Daphnia pulex: one gene and its partners. The protein of the gene in region 1 purifies or fractionates together with the protein of each later gene. This does not show direct contact. Links are inferred from orthologs where the notes say so. Each region holds a gene or a part of one and is shown in the gene's direction. Other genes may lie near its edges. The genes, in order: importin subunit alpha-1-like, nuclear pore complex protein Nup153-like, nuclear cap-binding protein subunit 1-like, GTP-binding nuclear protein Ran, carboxy-terminal kinesin 2-like, CTD small phosphatase-like protein 2 and E3 ubiquitin-protein ligase Ufd4-like.

Evidence for each region.
Region 2: the proteins of importin subunit alpha-1-like (region 1) and nuclear pore complex protein Nup153-like purify together in Homo sapiens (co-immunoprecipitation; 4 studies listed by BioGRID and IntAct, counting the BioPlex papers as one, with this or other methods). This does not show direct contact. The link is inferred for Daphnia pulex from reciprocal best matches to the Homo sapiens genes KPNA2 and NUP153.
Region 3: the proteins of importin subunit alpha-1-like (region 1) and nuclear cap-binding protein subunit 1-like purify together in Homo sapiens (co-immunoprecipitation; 5 studies listed by BioGRID and IntAct, with this or other methods). This does not show direct contact. The link is inferred for Daphnia pulex from reciprocal best matches to the Homo sapiens genes KPNA2 and NCBP1.
Region 4: the proteins of importin subunit alpha-1-like (region 1) and GTP-binding nuclear protein Ran purify together in Homo sapiens (affinity purification with mass spectrometry; 3 studies listed by BioGRID and IntAct, with this or other methods). This does not show direct contact. The link is inferred for Daphnia pulex from reciprocal best matches to the Homo sapiens genes KPNA2 and RAN.
Region 5: the proteins of importin subunit alpha-1-like (region 1) and carboxy-terminal kinesin 2-like purify together in Homo sapiens (co-immunoprecipitation; 4 studies listed by BioGRID and IntAct, with this or other methods). This does not show direct contact. The link is inferred for Daphnia pulex from reciprocal best matches to the Homo sapiens genes KPNA2 and KIFC1.
Region 6: the proteins of importin subunit alpha-1-like (region 1) and CTD small phosphatase-like protein 2 purify together in Homo sapiens (affinity purification with mass spectrometry; 4 studies listed by BioGRID and IntAct, with this or other methods). This does not show direct contact. The link is inferred for Daphnia pulex from reciprocal best matches to the Homo sapiens genes KPNA2 and CTDSPL2.
Region 7: the proteins of importin subunit alpha-1-like (region 1) and E3 ubiquitin-protein ligase Ufd4-like purify together in Homo sapiens (affinity purification with mass spectrometry; 3 studies listed by BioGRID, with this or other methods). This does not show direct contact. The link is inferred for Daphnia pulex from reciprocal best matches to the Homo sapiens genes KPNA2 and HECTD1.

What each region holds. Positions count from the first base shown.
Region 1 is NC_060028.1:48,995-53,010, reverse strand, and holds importin subunit alpha-1-like, read left to right. Parts: upstream 1-1,216; 5' UTR 1,217-1,369; intron 1,370-1,602; exon of another isoform or gene 1,603-1,640; 5' UTR 1,641-1,663; coding exon 1,664-1,726; intron 1,727-1,792; coding exon 1,793-1,961; intron 1,962-2,021; coding exon 2,022-2,169; intron 2,170-2,228; coding exon 2,229-2,484; intron 2,485-2,541; coding exon 2,542-3,094; intron 3,095-3,158; coding exon 3,159-3,436; intron 3,437-3,617; coding exon 3,618-3,719; 3' UTR 3,720-3,964; downstream 3,965-4,016.
Region 2 is NC_060021.1:252,442-256,534, reverse strand, and holds the start of nuclear pore complex protein Nup153-like, read left to right. Parts: upstream 1-1,293; 5' UTR 1,294-1,575; coding exon 1,576-1,647; intron 1,648-1,713; coding exon 1,714-1,957; intron 1,958-2,028; coding exon 2,029-2,124; intron 2,125-2,186; coding exon 2,187-2,474; intron 2,475-2,558; coding exon 2,559-2,704; intron 2,705-2,766; coding exon 2,767-3,118; intron 3,119-3,178; coding exon 3,179-4,093. Other genes in the region: double-stranded RNA-binding protein Staufen homolog, read left to right, coding at 1-188, 253-339, 400-498, 581-682. UniProt on the Homo sapiens protein: Component of the nuclear pore complex (NPC), a complex required for the trafficking across the nuclear envelope. Functions as a scaffolding element in the nuclear phase of the NPC essential for normal nucleocytoplasmic transport of proteins and mRNAs.
Region 3 is NC_060022.1:6,378,315-6,382,541, reverse strand, and holds the start of nuclear cap-binding protein subunit 1-like, read left to right. Parts: upstream 1-1,427; 5' UTR 1,428-1,551; coding exon 1,552-1,582; intron 1,583-1,647; coding exon 1,648-1,925; intron 1,926-1,980; coding exon 1,981-2,174; intron 2,175-2,241; coding exon 2,242-2,413; intron 2,414-2,473; coding exon 2,474-2,695; intron 2,696-2,755; coding exon 2,756-2,856; intron 2,857-2,917; coding exon 2,918-3,089; intron 3,090-3,153; coding exon 3,154-3,321; intron 3,322-3,381; coding exon 3,382-3,634; intron 3,635-3,693; coding exon 3,694-3,827; intron 3,828-3,893; coding exon 3,894-4,218; intron 4,219-4,227. Other genes in the region: uncharacterized protein LOC124196162, read left to right, coding at 1-33, 124-282, 372-559. UniProt on the Homo sapiens protein: Component of the cap-binding complex (CBC), which binds cotranscriptionally to the 5'-cap of pre-mRNAs and is involved in various processes such as pre-mRNA splicing, translation regulation, nonsense-mediated mRNA decay, RNA-mediated gene silencing (RNAi) by microRNAs (miRNAs) and mRNA export.
Region 4 is NC_060020.1:1,358,597-1,362,057, forward strand, and holds GTP-binding nuclear protein Ran, read left to right. Parts: upstream 1-1,479; 5' UTR 1,480-1,632; exon of another isoform or gene 1,633-1,689; intron 1,690-1,817; exon of another isoform or gene 1,818-1,915; intron 1,916-2,046; 5' UTR 2,047-2,059; coding exon 2,060-2,302; intron 2,303-2,360; coding exon 2,361-2,549; intron 2,550-2,608; coding exon 2,609-2,824; 3' UTR 2,825-2,961; downstream 2,962-3,461. Other genes in the region: uncharacterized protein LOC124192239, read left to right, coding at 1-648; NFATC2-interacting protein-like, read right to left, coding at 3,047-3,321. UniProt on the Homo sapiens protein: GTPase involved in nucleocytoplasmic transport, participating both to the import and the export from the nucleus of proteins and RNAs. Switches between a cytoplasmic GDP- and a nuclear GTP-bound state by nucleotide exchange and GTP hydrolysis.
Region 5 is NC_060023.1:9,698,238-9,702,180, forward strand, and holds the start of carboxy-terminal kinesin 2-like, read left to right. Parts: upstream 1-1,143; 5' UTR 1,144-1,997; intron 1,998-2,069; exon of another isoform or gene 2,070-2,073; 5' UTR 2,074-2,119; coding exon 2,120-2,270; intron 2,271-2,332; coding exon 2,333-2,485; intron 2,486-2,540; coding exon 2,541-2,606; intron 2,607-2,679; coding exon 2,680-2,878; intron 2,879-2,935; coding exon 2,936-3,230; intron 3,231-3,289; coding exon 3,290-3,692; intron 3,693-3,759; coding exon 3,760-3,943. UniProt on the Homo sapiens protein: Minus end-directed microtubule-dependent motor required for bipolar spindle formation. May contribute to movement of early endocytic vesicles. Regulates cilium formation and structure.
Region 6 is NC_060021.1:11,134,968-11,138,848, reverse strand, and holds CTD small phosphatase-like protein 2, read left to right. Parts: upstream 1-1,338; 5' UTR 1,339-1,512; coding exon 1,513-2,229; intron 2,230-2,286; coding exon 2,287-2,516; intron 2,517-2,581; coding exon 2,582-2,708; intron 2,709-2,777; coding exon 2,778-2,873; intron 2,874-2,937; coding exon 2,938-3,003; 3' UTR 3,004-3,381; downstream 3,382-3,881. Other genes in the region: uncharacterized protein YJR141W-like, read left to right, coding at 1-777; protein KTI12 homolog, read right to left, coding at 3,403-3,615, 3,698-3,760, 3,830-3,881. UniProt on the Homo sapiens protein: Probable phosphatase.
Region 7 is NC_060020.1:92,536-96,035, reverse strand, and holds part of E3 ubiquitin-protein ligase Ufd4-like, read left to right. Parts: coding exon 1-1,310; intron 1,311-1,426; coding exon 1,427-3,124; intron 3,125-3,214; coding exon 3,215-3,500. UniProt on the Homo sapiens protein: E3 ubiquitin-protein ligase which accepts ubiquitin from an E2 ubiquitin-conjugating enzyme in the form of a thioester and then directly transfers the ubiquitin to targeted substrates.

The sequences.
Region 1 (4,016 bases):
TGGACGTGATACGAATGTGTTGGAATAAACACCAACTGCAACACCAACTTTGCAGGGTCGTTGTAATCCAGTTGAACCGATGACGGGAGTTGCAGCTGTTCACGTTGGATTTCTCCGTTTCTTTTGGAACTGCCCGGCGGATTGCAACTAATTGTGGGGAAATTGGAAATGAAAAGGAATTTTAGAGTCTATTAGCACACGTGACCTAATCACAGAATATGATTAGTTTTTAAGAAACGTATAGACTGAAAAATGTGTTTAACGTATTACGTGCACACTGTCCAGCACGGATTTTACGACCACCTGTGTCGGAATTAGCGATTCCAACTGAACTATATTTGGTACGCTCTGTTGATCAAACTTGTCGAAAGGCTAAACGGTCCCCTCTTGCAGTCGGATGAAACTGATTTTTAAAAATAAAAGTTATTTGCCTGCCACTGATTTAATAAATTAAATGAAATAAGATATATAACTTGAATTCACAACTGTTAGTGTTTAAAGCAATTAAAACGTTTTAATTTCTACAGAAAGTTTAGAGATCAGACAAGAGACATTGTAAATCTAAATTTCATTCTGTATGTTTGGTATCACAGCTAGGCCTACCTCATTTCGTTAGGAAGATGTATTAAAATGAAGTTTCTTCCATACTTTATCTGTTGATTCTGTTCACACTGATTTTGGATGATACTCTTACAACTGATGGAAAATTTGGTCTGAAAAATATTTGAAAATTTAGTATAAATTAATTTGGGTTGTGGGAGAAAACTTTTCTTTCTTCCAGATGGCAGTCTAAAGTTTAAGCTTTCAGGAATCGGCTGGCACTGGCTGGTATTCAAATTTTTGCCACTTTTTTAGTTTGGAAAACAGTTTTATATAAATTGAATGTTCAAGATTACTGGATCTATATTTGTATAACTTCTTCCTGCCAACATAAAAATTGTTGATGCTAGTTTTATGAAAACTGTTTAAACCAGGGGAGAGATCTCTGACACTGTCATTTGGACATCATCATACATCATGTTCTTAAAGAAAGACTTCCAACAGATCATTAAGTCAGAAGGTTAATTAATGAGAAATCCTATGGTAACAAATTCTTATTAAAATCAATTATCAATTTCAGTTAAATTCTATTATGACCAGCTCCATCGGCGTTTTTCATTTTCTGCTTATTTTGAAATTTTAAATTTTCTCGTCTGCTTATACGTTGCCAGATTTGATCCCATTCCGATTGCATCAATGAATAAATTTGGCAACAGGCAACGGTTAGGTTTGAAATTCCCTCCCCCTTCTTCTTCTTCGTCGTCTGGAATTCTCTTAGCGATCAAACGGTCACCATTCATCAATTGATTCTTGCTCACAAGTCCCGCAGGTAATTCCTCTCTCTATTAATTTTCAATTTTTCTGACATTCCCACGTGGAATAATAGTTTACTTCTTGCTTCGACTATAACAAATTGTGAAATAATGGTATGAGTCATCATTGACACATTTTTAACGACTGCCATAGTCTGGGAAATTTTGCACGTGGCGCGGGAAATTTTTTCTCTTTGTTGCTTCATTGTCTCGAGTCCCATTTCTCATTTTTCTTTTGTCATTGTGCCAGATTTGAAAATCCCTTTTAGAATTCTCTTTCTTTGACAGCTGGAGTAAATTACACTATCACAATGCCTACTGAAGCAAATCCCAGCCGGTTGAAGGACTTCAAGAACAAAGGCAGAGATGTTGAGGTAAATACCTTAAAATAACTAGTGTCAGTTCTCAAATGTAACAGATTTTTCATCTTTCTTGTTCAGGAAATGAGGAGGAGACGTACAGAGGTGAATGTTGAGTTGCGGAAAGCCAAGAAGGAAGATCATTTGTTGAAGAGACGTAACCTTGAAATCGATGATGAGCCCCTCAGCCCACTCCAAGAACAGAATCGGATGGCTGCAGCAAATATGAGCATTGAGGACATAGTCAATGGTATGTGTGCATCAGTTTTTATTTCTGAGTTGCTTCTCATATGTTTTTCATTATCGTTAGGTATCAACAGTGGTGATGAGAACAAGGAGATCACTGCAACCCATGCTGCCCGTAAAATCCTCAGCAGGGAACGTAATCCACCCATTGACATCCTCATTAATGCAAATGTTGTTCCGAAGCTGGTGGAGTTTCTCAGTCGTGTCAGCAAGTATGTCAAGTGTCTCTTTTGGTTTTTGAACATTTCCTAATGGTCTTTCTTTGTTTCAGCCCCGATCTGCAGTTTGAGTCAGCCTGGGCTCTCACCAACATTGCTTCAGGCACATCTGACCAGACAAAGGCTGTCGTCAGTGCTGGGGCTGTCGCTGGCTTCATTTCCCTGTTGGGGTCACCTCATCCAGTTGTGGCAGAGCAAGCTGTTTGGGCTCTGGGTAACATCGCCGGAGACGGACCAGAGCTTCGTGATCACGTCATCGAGCAAGGCATTATCAAGCCTCTGCTTACTTTGATTAAACCTGATACTTCGGTGAGTTTTATTTTAAATTTACGTTCGTGTGCAGTTGTTAATTGATTTGATCTATAGGCCACATTCTTGCGTAATGTCACTTGGACTTTGTCCAACTTGTGTCGTAACAAGAATCCTCCGCCCAGTGTCCCTGCCGTCCGGCAACTGCTTCCCGCATTGGCCCACCTGATCCACAACAACGACAAAGAGATCCTCGCCGATGCTTGCTGGGCTCTTTCTTACCTCACCGATGGCCCCAACGAACGGATTCAGGAGGTTGTCGACGCCGGTGTCGTCCCACGGCTGGTCGCTTTGCTGGACCACGTTGAGGTGGCCGTGATCACCCCCACTCTGAGAACAATCGGGAATATCGTTACAGGAAGTGACATTCAGACCGATTCCGTCCTGGCTGCTGGTGCCTGCCCGTTGCTGGCCAAGTTACTCGTTCATGCTAAGATGAACATCGTCAAGGAGGCTGCCTGGACCGTGTCCAACATTGCTGCCGGCAATGCCATCCAGATTCAGGCTCTCATCACCAACAATGTTATTCGTCCGTTGGTGGATGTGCTGGGCAAAGGTGACTTCAAATGCCAAAAGGAGGCAGCTTGGGCCATCACCAACATCACTTTAGGTAACTTATTTCATTTTTACTGGTGTTTTATTGATTTTTAATTGATTTTTCTTATTCATTTCAGGTGGCAATGTGGAGCAGATCGCCTTGTTGTGCCAGTTTGGTGCCATCGCTCCGCTGTGCACTTTGCTGGAGGCAAAGGAACCCAAGACCATCTTGGTCGTGCTGGATGGATTGGCTAATATTTTGGCCGCAGCTGAGAAAATGGGTGAATTGGAGAAAGTTTCCCTTCACGTCGAAGAGTGTGGTGGTCTGGACCGCATCGAAGCTCTGCAGAGCCACGACAATGTTGAAATCTATCACAAGTCATTGGCCATTCTGGAGCAGTACTTCTCAACTGACGTAATTTATTCTTTTTTTATTGTTTCTTTTTTTGGGTTTATTTCAATGATTACCACAACTGTTCACATTCATAGTGTTTGTGCTGACAACTTAACCATTACTGAGATTTTAGAAAATTAGTTTTATTTTGAAATAGTGTTCTTGAATTTGATTTAATCGTTTTTGTTTGTTATTTCGACAGGGGGATGAAGATTCCGAGTTGGCGCCATCTACATCGCAGAGTGGCAATTACGAATTCAACAACTCGCCATCTCAAGCCCCCGAAGGAGGTTTCTCATTCTAAATTTTGTATAATCTAAAAATTCTTTTTGATTTTTTTCTGCCTTTACAACGGTAAATATATTCTTCACTTTCTTGAACGCTATCCTAATCATGAGTTTTGGCCTTTTCTTATTTCAAAGTTTTTTTCTAAATTGTTTTTTAATTGAAAGTTGCCATTTGCTTTCATTTCTGTCCATGCACGACGTCTTCTTTCCTCTTTCTCAATGCGCGATAAACGAGCAATACAAAACAACTCGATCAACTCTACATTTGATAAGTTTTGATTTTGTCGTGCTAGTTTTTATTTTTTGTATTTCAA
Region 2 (4,093 bases), on another chromosome or scaffold:
CAGTTGCTGTTGAGACACTCTTACAGGATGCGCCACTCTCCAACAGCAATTGCACAGGTCGTCAAATGGTTCCGGGTCTTCTTTTATTAGGAGGCGGACAGAGTAGGAAAATTGACTCTCCATTCATAACCGATTCATCGAATGCCACTGGAATTAAAGAAACTACTCAATCGTCTCGTCCGCCCAAGGCATGTTTTTCTTATGCCTCTGCCAACACTTCTTAAAATCATATATTTATTACTTAATCTTTAGACTTCTGGAGGGTTGCGCCCGGAAATACGTCTAAGGTACTTGGCCCAAGTACTGGAATACGAGGTCGAGTTTTCCGATTTTCCAAAGGTAATAAACATTTTAAAAACTAATTTTAATTTACTGTTGGAATTAATGTAATATTATTAGGGCAAGAAAGGAGATTTCGTTAGCCTTGTGACCTTGAATACAAATCCTCCGCAAGTGTCGCACGGACTTGGTGCCACTTTGGAAGAAGCCCATGATAACGTAATCATAACTTGACTATATTTTGGCAATCAGCTTAAGTTAATTATTTAATTGATGTTCTTTTTGTTAATTCTTTGCACAGGCTGCTTCCAATATGATGAAATTGCTTTCTGAAGGGTCTCAAGATGACACCGTTGGTCCCAACAAAGAAAACGCAGATCAACGAAGCACAGGACCCCAATAATTTTGTTTTTCCTATAATGCCCTGTTTGATATGTTGAGATTTGAAATGAGATTGTCTCATATCTATTTAATTTAGTTTTTGTGTCATTTAACTTAATATTCAAGCACGCTATCACGATTTTTCTTTTGTTATTCATTTGTGGGTTTGCAGTCAAAACTATTTTTCTTTGTCTTTCACTCTTTTTTTCCCCCTTCTACATTGTACACGGTTCAGCTTTTTATTTCATTATTTTTCATTTAACGGTTATTTGTATTTATTTTCAAATAAAATCAGGAGCTTATCTCTTGCTGACTCTTTATCATGTGTGGAAGAAAAAAAAAGAATTTTGAAAATGAATAATCTGTACCGTTGACTAAAAGAACGAAAATCAGAAAAAAATGGGTGCAAGTTCTAAGATTATGCAATCATACTGATCATACTTTTACGTAATACTGCACTACTGCATTAAAGAACTTGCGTTTTTTTTTACATGGCGCAGCGTGATACCTATATTTGCAGCACACATTACTAGTGGCTGTTTTATGTAACAGCGCTAGCCAAAATGAAAATTAATTTCATGCATGGGGGGAGGGGGTTACCGCATGCGAATTAGGCAATTTCTTTTAGTTCGATCGGTTGATTCATCGAGAATGGTCGAGAAGGGTTCCGCTGGAGCCAAACTATAGCCCGTCACAAACGCCCTCTACTGATAAATTTATAAGTTCTTTGAGCAACATCGTTCTTCATTTGTTTCTCGTAACCGCCAATCAGATCTTTCTAAACTTAAAAAAAATCCGCCATCTTTTCTCGGCACTTTTTTCCTCGCCGCGTGTGGGTCGTGGTGCGACGGGTTAAAGCTGTTTTCTTGCAACAGTATCTGATTTCCGTATTGATTGATAATTTCTAAAACAGTCATGTGGGAAGATAATTTAGGTAAAGTCAAGGCAAGGCGGAGCAAAAATTCAAAACCATACGAAAGGCCCAAGGTAAGACTAAAATACGTTTGTGTGAGTTTGTGAAACCCCAACTATATCCGGCTTTTTGTCTATCAGTCGATTTTGAGGCGAGTAACAGATTCAGTTACTGGATTGTTACCACAACCTTCTTGGCTGGTGAATTGGTTACAATCTACATCAGCTAAAAAAGAAGATAGTGAAAATGATGAAGTTGAGGAAGAACAACCTGTGCCGTCAACCAGTTCATCCAGCAATGGTAACAGCTCCCACCGAGAAGGTGTTGAAAGAGAGTCCTTCATATTTCGCAGACCACCTGGGACATCCAAAGAACAAAGCAACAGTAAGTTTTTTTCATCAATGTTCTGCTCCCTTCAAACTGTGTAACACATGCTTCTTTTTTTGTTTGACTTGCAGTAAGAGCTCGTCCAAATGTCCCTTCTTTGGACTTACTTCCAGAGCCAGTAGTGGTTGAATCAAGTTCAAGAGAACAAATCGTTCAAACAAATGGTTTGTATTAAACACTGATTTTCAAACTTTTATGACATCTCACATCTCATTTCCTCTGACAGGTGATGATGACTCCAACTCAGAGTCAACTAGCGGATGTTCCTCATTGTTACCACATCTCGAGCATAAGAGGGAGAGCAGAAATATAGAACTATCAAGTTTGGGAGTTGCTGAACCTCTCTCTATTAATCAATCTTCACTGCAAATCATTGGAAGCTCTTTGAGCAAGTCCCTAGCAGTTGACCTAAAAAATAGCCGTGGACGCAAAACTCTCAGCCTTCATACTTTTGGTCATGATACAAGTTCAGGTATAACTCCCACAGAAGAATCAAGGTTCCACAAGGATACAGGTAGATTTCTAATGACATTTTCATCATTTTGTAGTCAAGAATTTTGCTTACAAATGAGTCTAATGTATTGTTTTTGATTTGTAGAAGAGGCTAGTGGCTCATTTTTCGACAAAGACGACACTTCACTCAATCGTTCAGCTGCCAAGCGAGACCTTTCCCAACCTCAACTTTCATCGTATGGAAGCAAGAGACCACGCTTCAATATAACTTCATTTGGACCTACGGCTGCTGTAAGTCTTGAATTTAATTTACTAACAAAGTCTGGACTCTATTCTTTTATTACTTCCAACAGGAGGCTAGGCGGTCTTTAATGAACGAGAGTGTTGTAGACTCACCATTTTATGCTGGTAAGACGACTTACGGTGGTGCTTCAGCTTATCGCCGTGCCACTTTACAACCTTCAGCTGCACTATTCCCATACGTGCGAAGTCGAATTCAGGCTAGGCCTGCGTCTTCAGCTCCATCCACTTCGAGTTCTGTTGCTTCTACCAGTTCGTCAAATGTTGTACTTAGTAGTTCAGCGCAACGAATCCTTCAAGCACTCGAAGCCATGTCAACACCAGTGAGAGATGCAAAAAGGATTCCTGCTGCATCCAACAGTAAACGATCCACTTCTTTACAAGGCGAAGAACTTTCGTTCACTGGTAAATTGATAAAAGTTATGAATTGCTTAACGTTATAATAATTTCGCTTTGTGTTTAAAGGGTTTGGTTTGAGTCGCCGACGTCCAAATTTGGGACCTCCAACTTCCAAATTATCTGTCGGTACTCCGGCACAGATTGTCACCCGACCAGCTCCAGCAAACTTGTCTCAAATAGAACCAGCACTAGTATCGAGCACCCCCATCAGTGCCCAGGTTGGTGGCAAGATGCGAATGAGGATGTCAGCACCACTTCGCAAATCGGCTCCTCGTATTCGAGAGGATGAAGATGTAGAGTCGGAGGAGCTCACTGCTGTGCCAATGCCCATTAGTATAGCAGGTCTACCTAGTTTCAACTTGCTACCTCCTTGCTCGGTGGTAGAAAAAGCAACTGTTGTATCGACGAAGACTTCAGTGAAAACAGCAGCAGTAATGAGTTCCAATGGATTGGTTAGTTCTTCAATGACGAGTACCTCAACACCTCGTCCAGCTTTCACGTTTTCAGCACCGTTGGTTACCGTCAGTCCGTACAAGGTAGATGCAGCCGTCAGTTCGAAGCCGCTCAGTTTCAACTTCAGCTCCCCATTGCTCGTCAACGCTTCTCCGAAAAAAACACCAGAGAAGGAGACTCCAACTAAACCCGCAGAAGTGGAATTGAAATCTGGAAGTGTCCTTGATGTTCTCAGAGGGAAAAGTCAAGAAGCTGTGCCCGTTTTGGAGCCAGTTATTAAGTCACCACCGGTTCTTTCAGGATTTGGAGATAAATTCAAGGCACCTACCGATTCTTGGACATGTTCTGTCTGTTGCGTTCCCAATTCCAAGGACAAATCTTCGTGTGTGGCATGCGAATCTCCAGCCCCCAATGCAGTAAAAGCAATGCCTATTGCTCCTGCTGCTGCTGCTGCTCCTGTTGCGCCTCCAACAAAAGGATTCGGTGATCAATTTAAAATGACCGCCGCTCAATGGGAATGTTCTGTGT
Region 3 (4,227 bases), on another chromosome or scaffold:
GTGAAAGATTAAGCACAAACAATTCTTTACCAGGTATGGCTCATGTGGTTGTTAGCAGACTTCCATTCATCGTTAATTTTATTATTCACTCTTCATTGTTCATCATTTCTTTTTGTATTCAAGTTGTAGTCATTGCAGCGGAATCTTTATCCACCAGTTCAGTGAATAACAGTAGTGTCCCATCAACAACAAATCCTGCTGTGGAGAAAAGTGTGAATGCGGGCCGTAAACGGGCCGAGAGCACACGTACAAGAGACTCAAGTACGAACAATTCTTTACCAGGTATGGCTCATGTGGTTGTTAGCATACTTCCATTCACCATTAATTTTATTATTCACTCTTCGTTTTAATCATTTCTTTTTGTATTGTAGTCAATGCAGCGGAATCTGTAGGCCTATCCACTAGTTCAACGGATGACAGTTATTGTGTGTCAAGCAATCCTGCAGGCTTAATCAATGCCGCTCATCAAGCTGATGTTCGTTCCATTCCATCCACAGTTTGCACTACGAGCCAAGTTGTGAATTGTAGCCAAGGTATACGGACGATTCGGCAAATTTGACGTTTGCCGAATTGGTTTTTGCCGAATTGGTTGACTTTGTTATTTTCCCGAATCGTACATACCAATTCGGTAAAAAGCCAATTCGGCAAAATTGTTTAAAATGCCGTTGTAAGGCCAGTGGCGCTAGCTGTGTGGGTTTCGGGTAATCAGCGCCACCACCAACACGCGAATTATACTGTCTTTCCCGAGAGATCTTTGAGCCCTTCCCGACATAAACACAAAACAAAGTGGAACCTGCTTTAACTGCCCATTCTTTTTTAGAAAACCATGGAGGGAAAATAGTTGAGTGAAAGGGAAGTTTATTATTTTAAAGGTTCCGTCGGCATACCATCGAACGGCAGTTTTCAAAAGCGCTAGTTGTTCGTCAGTCATGAAAATTAAATGACGTTTAGAACCAACTACAACTTCTCCTTTAAAAAACGAAGTGGGCATTAAGTCCATTTTGATTTGAAAAAAAAGATCAATTGGGTTTTTAGCAGTGCGCTTTGCTTTTACCCGATTTACAGCCCTAGCTAACGTTGTGGGGTTAATTGGGTTCCACAGTATTTGCCGCCAATTTACATTTGCACAGTTGCCGAATCGACTTTTGCCGAATCGGTAATTTCATAGGTGACAATTCGGCAACTTTGCCGAAACGGTTTTCGGCGATTTGCCGAAATGGTTTTTGCCGAATCGTCCGACATTCGTAGCCAATTTCACCTAAATTGAATTCAACAAATCCCATTTTTGCGTGAATTTAATTCAATTCAGCTGAATATAAACTGAATTGAATTTTTGCGCCAAATTGCGTTGCCTAAAATAAACAATTTTTACAGCTACGTTGTCAAGTTATGTAAACTATTTTCACGATCATCGAAGTTTATGATTTCATCAATAGATGGCGTCAAATTAACAGCTTCTTTAATAGCTCCATATGACAAACAGTCAAACAGGGTGGTAGTAGTTTGTCTGTCTTGTAAGCGTCGTAGACCAATTTAAAATAAAATCAAAGAATGAGTCGTAGGAAACGTGATGATGGATATGGTAAGGATTACAACTTATTGAAGAATTTGATGACATTATAAAAAGTTATTTGTTTAAAATTACAGAACATGGGTATCGTAAAAGGCGCAGAGTTGTCTCGGAGCAGGCAGAAATTGAAGACCGGTTAGAATCTCTTATTATCAGGGTTGGAGACAAAACGTCATCATCTTTAGAAAGCAATTTAGAAGGGCTTGCTTCAGTATTAGAAGCTGATTTGAACACGTACAAGAGTAAAATATTACGTATTTTGTCGGAATGCCCAATCCAAATGCCAGAGAAATGTACTATCTACAGCACATTAGTTGGTCTTCTGAATGCTAAAAACTATAATTTTGGAGGAGAGGTTTGTTTTAAAATTGTACTTTCAGTTTTTAAGATACAAGTATATCTTTTTTTAGTTTGTGGAACAAATAGTGAGAAACCTAAAAGAAGCTCTCCGTGAGGGGCAATGGGAATCTGCTCGTTTAATTGTACGTTTCATATCTGACATGGTCAACTGTCACATAGTCTCTGCCTCTTCCTTGCTACAGTTATATGACAGTTTTATTGACGCTGCCATGGAACAAGGAGTTCCTCAGGTTCGACGAGACTGGTAATTAAATTTTTGTTTTATTCTAAAGCAAGAGTAATGTAGATCACAACACTGTATCAATTTACAGGTACATGTATGCGTTGTTGACGGCGCTTCCTTGGGTTGGTCGAGAGCTTTTTGAAAAGAAAGAAAATGATCTTGAACGTATAATGGCAGCAATGGAAGGTTATCTTCGCAGAAGAAATACTGCTCATGTCGCTGCTCTTCGAGTTTGGAATTGTGAAACTCCGCACCCACAGGTCAGAAATGGCATGGCATTTTAATAATAATTGAAAAATTTCGAAAAACGTTCTTTCTAGGAAGAATACCTGGAATGTCTTTGGGCTCAAGTACGGAAATTGCGGACAGACGAGTGGCAGGAAAGACACATTTACCGTCCATATTTAGCTTTTGATTCTATCCTCTCTGAAGCTTTGCAACACAATCTCCCGGTCATTCTACCTCCGCCTCACACAGCTAGTACGCAATATCCGCTACCATGGGTTGTTTTCAGGATGTTTGATTACACTGACTGTCCAGAAGTAAGTTAAACGCTTTCAAAAGTGTGTATCGTGCGTATTTAACTCGGGACTCATTTTCAGGCTGGTCCACTTTTACCAGGAACTCATTCAGTAGAGCGTTACTTGATTGAGGAACATTTACACCAGATCATCACTCGTCATCATAACGAACGCAAGGAACTGTGAGTTTCAACTTGACAGAAACGTTTGTGCAGATAATAGTAAATTAATTTTGCTTTTCAGAGCCACCCAATTGTTGGCGTTCCCACAGAGAAATAAGATCCCTTTGGAATACATGATAGTTGAAGTTCTCTTCTCAGAACTTTTCCAAATGCCTTCCCCTCGTTACTTGGAGATTGCTTATGGTTGTACTTTGATAGAACTTTGCAAGCTTCAACCAAGTACAATGCCTCAGGTGAAAATATGATCTTACAGTAGAAACTTGAACATTTTCATTTGACTTTTTATTTCACAACCAGGTGTTAGCACAGGCTACGGAGTTGCTTTACGAAAGAATTGATACCATGAATGCCACCTGCTTTGATAGATTCGTTTCTTGGTTTTCTTACCATCTCAGTAACTTTCAATTCCGCTGGAGTTGGGATGACTGGCAGAATTGTCTTTCACTCGAAAAAGACCACCCCAAGGTAAATGTTTAAAAAAATGAAATTTTTCGAAATCTATCTAAAGGAACACTTAAATTTCAGGCAAAATTTGTTTCTGAAGTGTTCGGGAAATGTTTGAGACTCTCCTATCACAAGCGCGTGACTGAAATGGTGCCTGAATGTTACTCACCGCTGTTGCCCCCGAAACCAGAACCGTACTTTAAATACCAAATTGAAGGAGGAAATGGTTTTCCTGGGGCTGCTCAAGTCCAGACTTTGACTGAGCTCCTAAGAAAAAAGCCAACGCCTGAAGAAGTACTAGAGTTGGTCCAGCAACTACCGAATCCTCTCAAAGGTAAATATGGTGGATACAATATGTATAACTTCAAGCCATTTTGATGCAATTGTAATTAGATGACGACGGGGATATGGAGCCTTCACACAATCCTCTAGCAATTGAAGTATTTGTTCAGACTCTGCTACATTTGGGATCGAAGAGTTTTACGCATACTTTTGCAGGTCTCGCTAAATATCATTCAGTCTTCAAGGTATTTTCAACAGATTGAAATGTTATCGATAGTATAAAACGATTCAATTTTACGTTTCTGTCATAGAATATTTGTGAGAATGAAGAGGCACAGATCTGTATGCTTCGTCAAGTTTATGAGCTCTGGCAACACCACCCACAATTTTTAGGAGTGGTAGTTGATAAGATGTTAAAGACACAAATTGTTGAGTGTTGTGCCGTAGCAAATTGGATCTTTTCACGAGACATGGCACCCGAGTTCACTCGTTCGTACATTTGGGAGGTCTTGCACTTGACTATTCGCAAAATGAACAAACACGTCGTCCGTCTAGAGAAAGAGGTGGCGGATGCACGCGCTAAACTCAGAGCTGCACCATCTGATTCGGAATCATCTGATGAAGATCCATCTAGAGGTGCGAACA
Region 4 (3,461 bases), on another chromosome or scaffold:
CCATTTCTCGTTGCTCCCGTCCTTAACCCACCGTTAGCCGCTGGGAAAATAACTGCCAATCCCTTTCTTCTTTCCGATTTTCCCGAAACAACAACACCTCTTCAAGCAAAAAAACGATTGATCGAAACCAATGTAAGCCAATCTCCCAGAAAATTAACAAAAATGGCCCCGCATGTTATGCCTGTGAAAGTTGAATTACTTCAACACAATTCGCCGGTTTGGTTGGTGAAATCTGAATTCGAGGAATCCAGTGTCATTGATCCCGACGAGATTCGACTGCTTCCCTTCGCACCTTCACATTTGGAATCACCACAAGAAGCTACTACAAAAGTCCCATTGAGTCGTCCTTCTACATCTTCGGTACCAAAGTCAAAAGTTGACATAGACGTGGATGAAGAAGGTAATTTATTCGCCACCATTCGTCTGATTGCCCCATCGCCTTCCATCACATCAAACAAACTTAAGGCATCAAAGAATGTTAACTGCAAAAACAAGAGGACTAGTAATCACTTTGGGCACTCTGGAAAAAATCCATCATCAAGGTTAAGCACAAAAAAAGAAACAAGAGCCAAAAAAGAGGACCCATTTTCTGTCAAGAGTCTGATGGCAAAGTTCATTGAAGCTGCAAAAAATAAAAAAATCTCCTAACTTTGATAACTATATATGATAAAACTTGGAGTTCCATGTTTATTTCAGATTATTTTAGTTTATTTTTATGTGTGCATGATTAGTTCGCCAATGTGGAATGTGATGACTACTGAAACCCCCTATCCCCATATTCCCCTTTGTCTTGCGTTTTTTGTTTGGATCCTCGTTCAAGTAGTCAGTTTCGCGTTGAGTTACAAACGAACCGGTATCGCATCAAAATGTTCGTCATAGCTTTATCTCCCAAGATTTTATACACTGTGATGAAACCTTCCGAAAATTATTTTGTAATAGTTCATTGATATTTTGTTTGTAAAACAAAACTCGCCATTATTTTTTGTAACCCAGAAATTCATCGTATCAATAAATACAGATGCTTGTATGAATGATCGCCTCCGTTGTTATTTTTCTTCGAACGGTTGATTTTATAACATACAATGAAATAATGACTAACAAAAAAAACAGCAATCATAACTTTGACAGAAATATTCATCATGCTGCTACCACGTCTTTTAATGTCCTATTAATTAATTTATATACAGTGATGCTTATAGGAATTTCTTTCTTCTTTTAAAAGGTAATTTCATTTGAATTAAGTGCTACTATCCTTTTTATTAACACATTTAGCATTTTAATCTCACACAAAATAAATATATTGTTGATTAAAAAATTAAAAAACATCATCCCGTTAATAGGCCTGAATGAAATTCAACATTAATAAATTACATTCAAAGCTTTAGACAGGCTTTAGAGAAATAGAGAGCTACAGCCCTGCTACAGCCTACTTTCCATTTTCAAATTCCAACCGTCTTTTTTTCAAAGAAAAGGAAAATATTCCCGCCGTTTCTCCTAGTGAAATTTGGCAACATCTCGCTAGGAATTTTTTAGAGCCACCCATTTTCAGCCAGCCTTTACGCTACCAGAATTTTTAGAGACCAGTTTGGTATTAGAACCGCGCGATTGTGAACCTAAAGCTTAAAACCGCCGGTGAGTTAGATTTATCTTCGAATATTGTCCACATCCTTCATCTTTTCGTTGTTTTAAGTAAGCAGTAATGTTTCTTTTGCCAATCTCTTTTTAATTCGGCATGGAAAGTATTTTAGTCATCATAGTTATTTTATTCTGCATTTTTCAAGTTGTAACCTCTAACAGTCATCTTCCTCCATCAAAGACAACGCACTAAGCTAGTCAGTGGCGGTAAAACTGTTCTGTGGTAGTTGTTTGAAATAGTCCCTTTTTTCTCTTGACATTAAACATTGACAGTTAACTTGTAAGTGTTCACGAGTGTGTAAATTTTTAGAAAAATATATTTTGTTGTCGTTAGATTAAGTTCCAGTAAATTCTTGTTGAATGACGCAATCAAGTCTGATCGATTCACTTATCTTTTCTCATTATTTGTAGGATTTACAACAGAATGGCTGCCGAACCTGACATGCCCACTTTCAAGCTGGTCTTGGTTGGCGATGGTGGTACCGGAAAAACCACTTTCGTTAAGCGTCACTTGACTGGTGAATTTGAAAAGAAGTATGTGGCCACACTTGGTGTGGAAGTTCACCCTTTGGTTTTCCATACAAACCGTGGAGCCATCAGATTCAACGTGTGGGACACTGCTGGTCAGGAGAAGTTTGGAGGTCTCAGAGATGGATATTACATTCAGGTAAATGTCAGCATACTTGTATTCACATGGTCTCGACTGACTTTCATTTATCTTGCAGGGCCAATGTGCTATCATCATGTTTGATGTAACCTCTCGTGTCACCTACAAAAATGTTCCAAATTGGCACAGAGATTTGGTCCGAGTTTGTGAAAACATCCCAATTGTTCTTTGTGGCAACAAAGTTGACATTAAAGATCGTAAAGTCAAGGCCAAATCCATTGTCTTTCACAGAAAGAAGAATCTCCAGGTATGTTAATTGTGCTACTAAATTGTAAATGCAATTTGCTAAATTTTGGTTTCATTTAGTACTATGACATTAGTGCCAAGTCAAACTACAACTTTGAAAAGCCTTTCCTCTGGCTAGCACGTAAGCTAATTGGAGACCCTAACCTAGAGTTTGTTGCTATGCCTGCTCTGCAGCCACCTGAGGTGCAGATGGATCCTAATTGGCAGAAGCAAATTGAAGGTGAATTGGAGGAAGCTCAACACATTGCACTACCAGAAGATGATGAAGACTTGTAACATCAACATATTAGGATTTAAGCCACTACACCCTCCCACAAATTTTTCCATCTGTGTTTTCTGCCTTCTATCTTAACCAATTTTTATTTGCGAGGTATGAAAATACATTGTGCGTCATAATACAAAAGTCTTTCGAATTTTTGTTTATTAGTGCATAATTTATTTGCGCAAGGGAAAATATACAAAGTAGTAAAGTTAAGAAAAATGTAGTGAACAAATAAACTACTCTCTAATGAAAACATCGATACACTCGCCACCTTCAAATTCCAGACTAGACGGTGTGTCATCTTCTTCCAACATTTCGCCGTCAAATTTAAACTTCAATTTGGACAAATCAATCCCGGTTGCTTCCGCATACTTCTGCATCAAAACTGCCATAGGGTCTTCGGGGCGCATTGATATAACCACTTGTGCATTCCGGTTCTGACTCTGAACCTTTAACTCCAACAATGTTTCGTTGGAGCTGACGACAACTCCTTCTTTGCAGACTGAAGCATCTGTTAAAAAAAAGCACTGTTACAACGTTCGCTAATACCAAACCCAATCGTCCAAAGTTTTTACATTGGAAAACCAATTGACTTCATGCCAGGGTTGCTAAAACCGATTTATGACGCTGAAATGGACTGTAATTTGAATG
Region 5 (3,943 bases), on another chromosome or scaffold:
GTTTTATGTCGCATTTTATTGCTTGAGAAATCTAGCAAAACAGGCAAGATGAAGCTTAAACCAGGCTTAAACAAATTTTTTTGTTCACTAACCCATGCACTAAAGTCCATTTTGGCAATTGCACTGGCGGTACAAGGGCAGATAAATATTACTATATGATATATAGGGGAGACTGGGGCTGTGTGGGACAGGGATGGGACATGGGACATCGCAGTTTTGAGCATTTAGTAATTTTATTTTAATATTTTTTTTAACAAACATGGGGCATGATAAATGCCCAAATATGGTTTAAAAAATATTTAAAAAATTACGGGAACATGCTCAAAACTGAGATGGCCCATGTAGCCCCACACAGCCCCGGTTTCCCCTATATATACATACAAATTTATGATGGTTATTTTTATGCACGACATCCTTAAAAAAAAAAAATTGTCATGAAGGTTTGCCTATCAGTTTGCCTATCAGTTTGCCTATCAGTTTGCCTTTTACGTATCTGCCCTTGTACCGCCAGTAAAATAGCCAAAACGGACTATAGTGCACTGGCGGCCAGATGATGTGGACGGTGTAATAAACATTAAAAAAAAATTAATTGGATTTAAATAGTTTTTTTTTTAAATAAAACAAAAAAATTCTTTCAAGCTTTATCTTGGCGGATCGCCAGTGCAATAGAACTGATTGTAAGAATCGTTTGTGTCTTTAGGGGACGGAACAAGCTTCTTTGTCACCGCTTCACGCCCCGAGTTCAGGACAATAACTTCATTTGTGCATGGTGCTGAACAGTTATTTCTATGTAAATATATACTGACCGTAAACGACCTTGTTTTTTGATCAATTTTGCTATCTGCATTTAGAAAACGACTGGTTGAATGCGCAATAACATTGTTTCCCGTTTTAAATACTCGATCAACAAGTTTGGTTTGTTTTTCGCATATTGTGTTAGAATAAAACCGTGTGGGTCATCTACTTTATTCGCGTTATTTATTTTGAAATTTTATTCGTTCAAACAAACAGAGATTCTGACTGAAATATGAGTGCGGATTTGCGGTTGCGTTGAATCAGAGAATAGATAAATGAATAAAGGTCGGGCCTATTGGCCTCTACCCGGGGATAAGGCCGCGCCTCACAGCAGTCTTTTGTTTCTGATGTCGCTGGCTGTCCAGCTATTTAAAATTAAGGACAACTTCAACTTTGTTTTTCTTTTCTTAAATTAATGACGTTTACCTTGTTCGATGGAAGTTTGGTAGACAGCGCCATTCCCAGAAAACGTTGCAACCAAAGGGACACCATTTTACAGTACACAAATATGGCGTGTAAAATCCGATGTTTATTCGATTTAGAAGTTATTTCATAGTTTTATTCAACAGTTATAAATATAGAAGCTGTGAAACTATGTTTACGTGGCTATGTTGCGTGCATTCTAGAACTTCAATGCGATGGTGTTAACTTTCGAGTAAAAGACAGGCATCCCCTTGGTCTATGGTTTGAAAAATAATTTAGTCATAACTTCCAAATTGAATTAACAACAATTCAACGAATATCACACGCCATGTCCTTTCCCCGGGTTCCCCTGGTGCCAGGGCCCAATAGCTATTTTGACTATTGGCCCCCGAAATCCGGGGACCAATCATGCATATTTTTCCTAAATAAATAGAGCAATGTATTTTGTATATATTACCTACACAGAGCAAAGATATTCATTTACTAATTACTATGCTATTGCTATTACTCTGGTTGAATGCCTGGCCGCTTGGTGGCGTTCGAGTTCGTCGAGGACGCATATAGATTTATTTCAAAGTGGCAACGCCGACTTGATTCGAATTTCTGCCGTTAACGACTTGTGGCATTAATTCAAAGGCATCATCTGCATTACTGCATCAGAAGAAAACCCTTCGTAATTATTTCGGTTGTCGGTTCTACAAGGATTTCAACTTACAGTAATCTTGCTTACATTGCACAAATTCATTTAAACTTAGTTGAGGACTCTACTCTGCTTTCTTGTAAGTTATAGATAAGATTGCTTATCACATTCAGTTTGACTAACAGTTTGATAACTCTTTGTCAAAATCGAGAAAGGCTATTTTACCAACGGTTGCCACTTACGCCTCAACCAAACAAAGAAATGGCTAGCAAGATACCCGGTTTTACTTCGGGACTGAAACCCCCTTCGACTTCCTCTTCTTTATCTAATCTTGCCAAACGACGAGGTCCAGAGGTGTCAACAGTACAACCAATTGAAAAGCGTCCAAGAACAACAGATGATGCTTCAACCAGTAAGTGAATTTCTTATTGCTTTAAAACATTTCAATTCATTGCTTTTTATTTTTCCCTCCAGCAGCTAGTAGCCACCAGTCATCGAGTACATTGATTCGTTCAAAATCAGTCACTAACTTGGCCACTACTGGGCAAAATGGAAAATCAACAACTGTGGGTAGGGGTTTATCGACAGCCCTCAAACCTCATGCATCTTCAACTCTTGGCCGCACAGGTTTGTTTAACAAGTTTCTTCCTTAAACTGCATAATTACAGTAATTCTCTTATAGCTGCCCGTGACATTACTAAAAAGGCAGACTCTATTTCAAATGCCATCACCAACAAGGGTGTTAAACGTAAGTAAAAGATTGAATTCATGCAAGAAATTTTTTTGGTTTGATGACAATTCGTTTGTTCACTTTACTCTAGCCAAACCTCTAACTCTGGAAAGTAGGATGATAATTATCGAAAAGCGCCTTGGAGAGTTGGAAACCGAAAATGCCGAGAAGAAGGATACCATCACTGTGTTAGACTCTACCAATAAGAACCTCGAGGTCCACATTAAGGACAAGGAAAGTGCAGTGAATATTTTGTCAGATGAAATCGACACTTTGAAGAGTAAAATTAGGTAAGTTATTAAGCTTTTCTTTATTTATGTGTTAATAATCTCTCTTCTTATTTGCAGGGGCTTAGAGATGTCGAGTGCCACTGAAAAATCTCTGCTGGAAAATAAGATTCGAGAATTGGAGTTCCATAAAGGTCTTATTGAGCGTGAGAGGACTAGTCTGGAAGGTGAACTAATCGCCTCTCAGAAAGAAGTTGTTGGATTAAAATGCTCAATGGCTGAGATGAGCTCAGCCTCCGCTGGTCTTCGCGCGGAATTGGAGTCTCTTCAGCGCCACTTAACAATCGAACAAGCTGACAATGCTAGGTTAAGAAATGATGTGTCTGTGGCAACAGCAGAAATTCAAGACTTACAAGTAAGTTTTAGAAATGATTTTTATTATTCCTTTTTTTAACAAATTTTTTTTTTTTCAAGGCTCGACTTCGGCAAGAAGAAACTCAAAGACGTCTACTACACAACACAGTTCAAGAACTGAAAGGCAACATCCGCGTATTTTGCCGAATCCGACCCATCATTCCTTCGGACAAATTGCCCGGAGGAAAAATCGCGCATTTAAACGTCTTACACGATAAGTCTCTGGAAGTACACAAACTGAATGCTGACATGACTTTGAATGAAAGCTCAATGAATGCTCCTGCAAGTGGCAAAGGACCTTCAAAAATCGACTTCAATTTTGATCGAGTGTTTGGTCCTAATGCAACTCAACAGCAAGTTTTCGATGAGATTTCTCAACTTATTCAATCGGCGTTGGACGGTTACAACGTTTGCATTTTTGCCTACGGGCAAACCGGTTCTGGCAAAACTTTTACTATGGAAGGTTAGTTTTCCTTTTATTTTCTGTTTAAGAAACCAACTAAATGTGGTTCTATTTCATTTTTCTACAGGCGGAACTGCTGGGTCTGAATCAGACGGGATGATTCCACGCTCTGTGCGTTTAATTTTTGCTGCTTGTGAGTCCCTTCGAGCCAAAGGTTGGGCTTACAAGATCGAAGCTTCTTTTTTGGAGATCTACAATGAACAAATCCGCGATCTACTCGGTCCTTCTGGAGGAGTTCACGATATTCGAAT
Region 6 (3,881 bases), on another chromosome or scaffold:
CATCCGATTATAGGAAAAGATTACCGCGTCCAGTGTGCTGAGTGTCAATCTGTTCTCATCAATCGTTCTAATTTCAAGCGTGTTTTGCCTTTGCCTCGTTCATCGTGGAGTGAAGCCGCTTCCGACTGGTATTGCCATCGACATGAGGGGGACGCAGACCATCAACTGGTACCTCGTTCAACCGATTGCCTGTTTGGAAGTTGTTACCATGCTCTCACGACGAGTTTGCTCATTGAAGGGAGCCTGGAAACCGCAGGCAGAGAATTATTATGTTCTAAATGTCAAGCCTCTGTAGGTCTAATGGAAGAAGGCCTTATGAATGTATGGTGCCACTCCATCAAATGGTTTCTGCTTGAAGAAAATGATCAATGGAAGATGATAGAAGACGTAACGACGCCACTGCAAGCTTTTTATTTCACACTGTACGATGCATTAGAAGAAGAAAAATCTTTTTTTGGTCGGAAGCTAGCCTTTCGAGATGGTGTAGGAGGCGGTCAGACTCTCCTTTTATGGTTTGTAGGCGACAACGGATTCACCCTTGATTCCAAGGAATCTGCATCGGAGATCGAACTGCGTCAAAGTGCACTCCATAAAGTATTGTACAAATCGGAGAATTCGACAAGTAAGAAAATTCCCAACGACGTGATTGAATACCAAGTGAGCAGAGAGATGATGAATAGTGCCTTGTCGGTATTGCGCAATAGTTCCGAGCAACTTCCCCCTGGATGTCGAACGGCCGCTGGCTTCTCCATAGGCTATCTGTCTCTTTCCTCGTGAAAATGTTTCAAAGACACGCCCATTTGTCAATCAATACACCTTTTACAGGAAACACAATTTCGTTTATTAATTTTTACGAAACCTATTGTAATTTTTATGTTAGCTATTACAACAGCCATTGTTTTGTTGACAATTTGAAATTTCGAAAACTATTACATCATTTCTGAAATCGAAATTACCAAGGAAAAAATTGGTGATATGAGCAATAGAGCTAGTAGAGTAGAGTAAGCCTTCTAGTGACGCTGTTTTAGTAGCCTCAGGCCAACGAATTTTTACTGAATGGTGGGCGAGGATCAGAGCATGCTGGTGGTGAAAAGCCGAAACTAGAATAAAATTTTAACCACTTTTCATGTATTTTTATTGATCGACGTCTACTGAAGGTCAGTGAAGCACACCAAGTTTATTTTCAATTGTCTTTGGTCATACTTTGTTATTCAACTTTAAATAATCAAGCGCATTTAGCAATTTAGAATACCATGGTTCAATATTGGCCGCTACGTGTCTCTGATACTGGCACCGGTTTTTGGGACGTCTGAAAATAGAAAGGATCTCGGCCGTAGTACACAGATAGCTTTCCGAAAAGTAGGCCATCCATAAAAGAGGGCGCACTGGGCGCTTGGTTGACTGGTTCTGCATTTTCGCTTCAACTGTCGAAAGACTTTCGATACATTTTCAACTACGAGTCCAAGTTAAGCTCAAGAGCGTAACTAGGGCTTGGAAAAATTAGTTTAGAAAATGATCACTCGCAGTCTTAGGAAAAAGCTATCGCCAGTTAAAAGGGTAGCTAGAGCGAAAGCTTCGGCGCCCAAATCTCCACCAAACTCTGTTCTACCCAAGCAGCCGTCGCCGCGCAGCAAGAAACGCGCCAAACGAAGTGTCAAAATTCGCGGTGGGACAAGGATTTCCCCTTCATCGGTTAACAGTAGGAAAGCAGCTTTGAACAGAAATAACAAATCTTTTTCCTCAGAAATGGTACAATCTACAAGAGTCTTGATCGAGTCCAAAAGCTTGGAGAGAACATCCAAGAGTCATTCTAAAACTGCAGCAAAGATGGAGCCTGCGAGTGTTGTAGTTAGTACGGATCAAGATGAAAAAGAGAATAGTCCTGAAATATCTGTCTGCCAGAATGGTGGTGCAGTTGGTACAACTACAGACTTGTACTGTACGCAGGAGCTTGTCTATACTGCAAGCAACGAAAATGAAACAGAAGATAATTTTCTCCTTTGTGAAGAAGTAATGTCTACCAAAGAAGTATTCATCACTCAAGCCCATGAAGCACCTGTTACTGATGAAACAACATACATCAGGCGAGAAGAAATTGAAATCGAGCCATTTGATCCATTCTACTTCATCAAGCATCTTCCTCCTTTGACTCCTCAAATGCAAAGACAGTGCCCAGCTCTTCCGCTGAAAACAAGAAGCAGCCCCACATTTTCACTGGTTTTAGATCTTGTAAGTTAACCATTCATGGTTTTCCAAGCATGTTATTGATGAATATTTCTCATACAGGATGAAACACTTGTGCACTGCAGCTTAGAGGAATTGGAAGATGCTGCTTTCAGTTTTCCTGTCTTCTTTCAGGATACGACATACCAGGTGTTTGTACGAACCCGACCACATTTTCGGGAATTTCTCGAGCGAGTGTCACAAATTTTCGAAGTCATTTTGTTTACCGCGTCCAAAAAAGTTTATGCTGACAAGTTATTAAATTTGTTGGATCCACAGCGTCGTTGGATCAAGTATGGAATTTTATTAATTCTTGATTTGCTTTCCAACTAACTTTTTCACGTTACATTGATTTTAGGTATCGGTTGTTTCGAGAACATTGCGTTTGTGTTAACGGTAATTATATTAAAGATTTGACTATCCTTGGACGCGACTTATCGCGCACAATTATCATCGATAACTCACCCCAAGCATTTGGATACCAAGTAATTTTTCGTTCATTCATTTTTCATTCATTTTTGTTCGTTAAAAACTAATCCATTTTTATCATTCAGCTTGAAAATGGTATTCCGATCGAAAGCTGGTTTGTAGACCAGACAGATGAGGAACTTTTGAAATTGATTCCGTTTCTTGTAAACCTGGTCAATATGGTAATTTTGAAAAATGTGCATTATTGTCTTAAACATTTTAAAATATCCATTTTGTTTCTTTTAGAATCAAGATGTTCGGCCGTATATACGTGAAAAGTACAGACTATTCTCTTATTTGCCTCCTGATTAACTAAAGACAGAAGATTTAGCGAATACTCAATGTGTGCAATTGACATCCTCAATTATTTTTTAAACGGACCGTTTGTCTACAGACTCTGACCTTCTATTTCTTGAAAACATGAGCATTTATTCTCTGGCAGAGCAACTTTTTGTTGCGTTTTAAATGGTTTTCGGCTATTGTTTTAGCCGAATGTTTTATGTGTAAACTATATACACACTAGAGACCAAATTTAGCAGGTGTACCTGGCTGTTCATTGCCTGACTTGAACCCCGGTTATTTTTTTTTCTCCTCTTTTGCTGCCTCGTTCATCTCCCCAGTTTGTTGTGTATGTTGACTCAATCGAGAAGTGAATGGTAAAACAATTAATAGACAGAAATAACAGTGGTCGTTGGAAATATCGTACATTATTTACACCAAATGAGACGTTAGGTACTGAAAGAACATTGCGGCTAATCTAGGTATATCATCAACTGGATGCGTTTTGGCAAAACTTATAAACTGCCGCCTGATCCTTGAAAGTTCTGACAGTTGATAGCGTCGTTTTAAAAGAAACTTCTCATTCGAGTTTGGGATAGAAACTTCGTCCCCGACCACACACGTTTTTTGAGCCTCGACTACTCGCTGGAAAAAAAAGAAAAAAAAATATTTATTATTCGTGAGCTAGGTAGGCCTACCTATGTAATAATGCCTTGCTTGAACTTACATTTACTATTTCTTGTGTCACACAATCCAGCTCGTACAGGAAGTTTGTTGATGTAAGAGGAAGCTGTGAATAAATAAGTTAAGAAAACAGTAACTTAAAGAATTCAAGTAAACAAATGATCATTGAATGTACTGATTGTGTGGACTGATTTGGAGTTGGGGCCTTTCTTTCGTACAGAGCTGCA
Region 7 (3,500 bases), on another chromosome or scaffold:
CAGGACGGATCCACCACCACTGCGGCGGCGGCCAGTGCCGGAGGTTTGGCCCAGCCGGCCGAAGGCCTGGTGACGGGAGAGCTGCACAACGGCTGGATCGACGTCCAGTGGGATCACGGCGGATCCAATTCCTACCGGATGGGAGCAGAAGGCAAATACGATCTGAGGTTGGCGCCTTCGTACGATCCCGACGCCGCCCAGCAACAACAGCCAACGACAGCCGCCGCCGCTTCGTCGTCGACAGCGGGCAAAACATCTTCTGCCCTCAAGACCATCAACCTGGACAAATCGTGCACTTCGCTGGCCACGGGCGTCAAATCTTCGACCCCGACGTCAACTTTGACCAGCACCGGACCCGGCAACGCCCTGACTGGTAGCCGCAAATCCAGTTCCACCCCCAGTTTGCCGGAAGCCACCGGAGTGGTGAAACCCTCTGTGGCTTCGACGGAGCAGGCCACCTCGGTGGATAATCTCTTGACCTCGTCGTCTTCATCAACGGCCGCCGCTTCGGCCGTGGCCGAAAGTGTTTTGAGTCTGGCCAGCGCCGAAGCCGGCCTGGTGTCGTTCGAGCGCGTCCGCGGCGACAGCACGGGAACGCAGAGCACAGACGACGACGAAGCGACTTCGACGGCCGTCGCCGCCCTGGTGGGGGCCCTCAGTCTGATGGATCCCAGCGGCTCATCCGCCGAAGGAGCAGCCGGCGAGTCTCAAGTTTCCGACAGTCACAAGAACGCCAAGAACACTTATTTGGCTGGACAATCGACTGCGACGGCCACGGGAGCTGCAGCCACTCAACTCATGGATCACTCGAGTCTCTTGACCTCTTCCGGCGCTGCCACTGGATCATCGGCCGCATCCATCAGCTTGTCGGCGGCCAGTCAAGCGGCCGCAGCCGCCGCATTGGACGGCATCGTCGTCGACGATTCGCTCATGGCCGACGTGACGGAAGAAATGCTGGAAATCAACGCGTTCGATCTGCTCCGCAGCCTGGAACGACAGGCCAGTCAATTGCAGGCCGAAGCCGAAACGATGGCCGCCGCCTCGTCGGCCCTTTCTCACGTCGAATTAGCCGGGCAACAGCAACAACAACAACAGGCGGATGACGAACAGGACGACATGTCGTCGCCTCCTTCGCCTCCCTCCCAGTCGGTCAAAGTGGCTTCCGGCGCCGCTTCTGGCGTTCGCACGTCTGGTTCCATGAGCGTCAGCGTCCCCAATTTGACGACGACGTCATCAGAGCCGGAACGAGAAGTGGGCGGCGGACCCACGCCAGCTGCTTTCCTCGAAAGCTTCGCTAATGTGGCCCGAAGGTAAAGAGATGAGTTTGACTATTATTATTCAAAATTAACAGCCACTTACGAGTTGCATCCACCCGGAATGAATCATTCAACTCATTTCGATTTCTCTCTTTTGTTTTGTGTGACAGACGCCACCAAGCGGGCAATGCTGCCAACAGTGGAAGCGGCGGAGCATCGGGAGGAAACGCTTCCGGCTCACCCGTCGACCTGTCGAATGCCAATCGATCCAGCGGATCCAACAGCGGAGCGGGCGCAATGGCGGGCGGCGGTCACGGCCACGGCGCTAGCGGAACCAACGCCGTCAACGTCTCGTCTTCCTCGTCATCGAACGCCTCGTCGTCGCTGCTCTTCCCTCGCGGTCCCAATTCCGTGTCCAGTCTGGTCCGTCTGGCCCTGTCCTCCAACTTCCCCGGCGGACTGCTCAGCACGGCCCAGAGCTACCCGAGTCTGAGCAACACGCTGAGCAGCCTCTCGTCGGTGGCCAGCCACGCCGTTTCCATGGCGGGCGCCTCTTCCACCAACTTGCACCACGCCCACGGCGGCGCTGGTGCCGGCCAGGGGGGACACCAGCAGACGAGCAGCAGCAGCAGCCACGGATTGAGCCAGGCGCTGTCGATGAGTCTGACGGGCTCCAGCGACTCTGAGCAAGTCAGTTTGGAGGACTTTTTGGAGAGTTGCCGGGCCGGCACTTTGCTGGCCGAGCTGGAAGACGACGACGAGTTGCCCGAGCCGGACGAGGACGACAACGAAGACGACGATGAAAACGAAGACGATGAAGATTTCGAGGAAGTGACGGAAGAGGATGGAGGAGGCGGAGTCAGCAGTCTGGTGGGCGGGGCGGGCGACGGCAGCGGAGCCGGATCTCGACACGTGACCGGCAACACGAAGCGACGCAGTTGGGACGACGAATTCGTCCTCAAGAGACAATTTTCCGCCTTGATTCCGGCCTTTGATCCCCGTCCGGGCCGTACCAACGTTCACCAAACGTCCGATCTTGAAATTCCGCCACCCGGAGCCGCCGAAGGAGCGCAAGGAGCCGAAGCCGTCATCACCACTTCTTCGTCTCCGTCCTCGTCGGGCCTCTCGGCCACCGGCCAGCAATTGCAGCAGCAGTCCGTCATTCAATCGATGGACGTGGAAGCCGACGCCGATCTGGTGCCGCAACCCAAATTGCACCTGGTCCTGCGCGGCCCATGTCTGCCCAACATCCCCGACGTGGAAATTGAGCTGACGGACAGCGACTGGACCGTCTTCAAAGCCGTGCAGAAGCTGATCCAGGCCTCGGCCCTGGGCACCCGCCAGGAGAAATTGCGCCGCATCTGGGAGCCGACCTACACGCTCGTCTACAAGGAGCTCAAGGACGAGGCCGGTGCCGTCGTCGTCGTCGGTCCCTCGACGGGCGGAGCGATGGGCGACGCGGCCGGACAGCGCCGACTGATGGACGACGAACTCTTTTTGCCCGACTTTGACGTCAACACGCAGACGAGCAACACGGTGGGCTCGTGCAGCGTCGGCGACGTCCTCCTTTTGCTGCGGCAGCTCTACGTGCTGAGCAGCCGGCCACCGGCCGCCGGCGAGCAGTCGGATGTGGAGCAGCAGCAGCTGCAGCATCAATCGCACCACAGTCCGACCATCTTTATTCCGCTGGAGGAGTTTAGCAGCAAGAAAGTGACCAACAAGTTGATGCAACAACTTTCCGACCCTCTGGTCGTGTCGTCGGGCGCCCTGCCCGCCTGGTGCGAGCAGCTCCTGACCGTCTGCCCCATTTTGATTCCGTTCGAGACGCGCCAGATGTACTTTCACGCCAACGCTTTCGGCACTTCTCGGTAATTTTTGAATTGGTCCATTCGGTTTTTCCGTCCGTCCGTTCGTCTTTTTAACCAAACATATTTTCTCTTATTTCTTTGGCATTTCAGATCGATCGTTTGGCTGCAGAGTCAACGCGATTCGGCCGTCGAGAGGCAGAGAAACACGGGCGCCGTTCCCAGACGGGACGACCCGCACGAGTTCCGCGTCGGCCGGCTGAAACACGAGCGTGTGCGAGTGCCCCGCGGCGAGCGGCTCCTGGACTGGGCTCAGCAGGTGATGAAGGTCCACGCCGACCGCAAGGCCATTTTGGAGGTTGAATTCCAGGACGAGGAAGGGACGGGCCTGGGTCCGTCGCTCGAGTTTTACGCTCTGGTGGCGGCCGAGAGTCAGCGA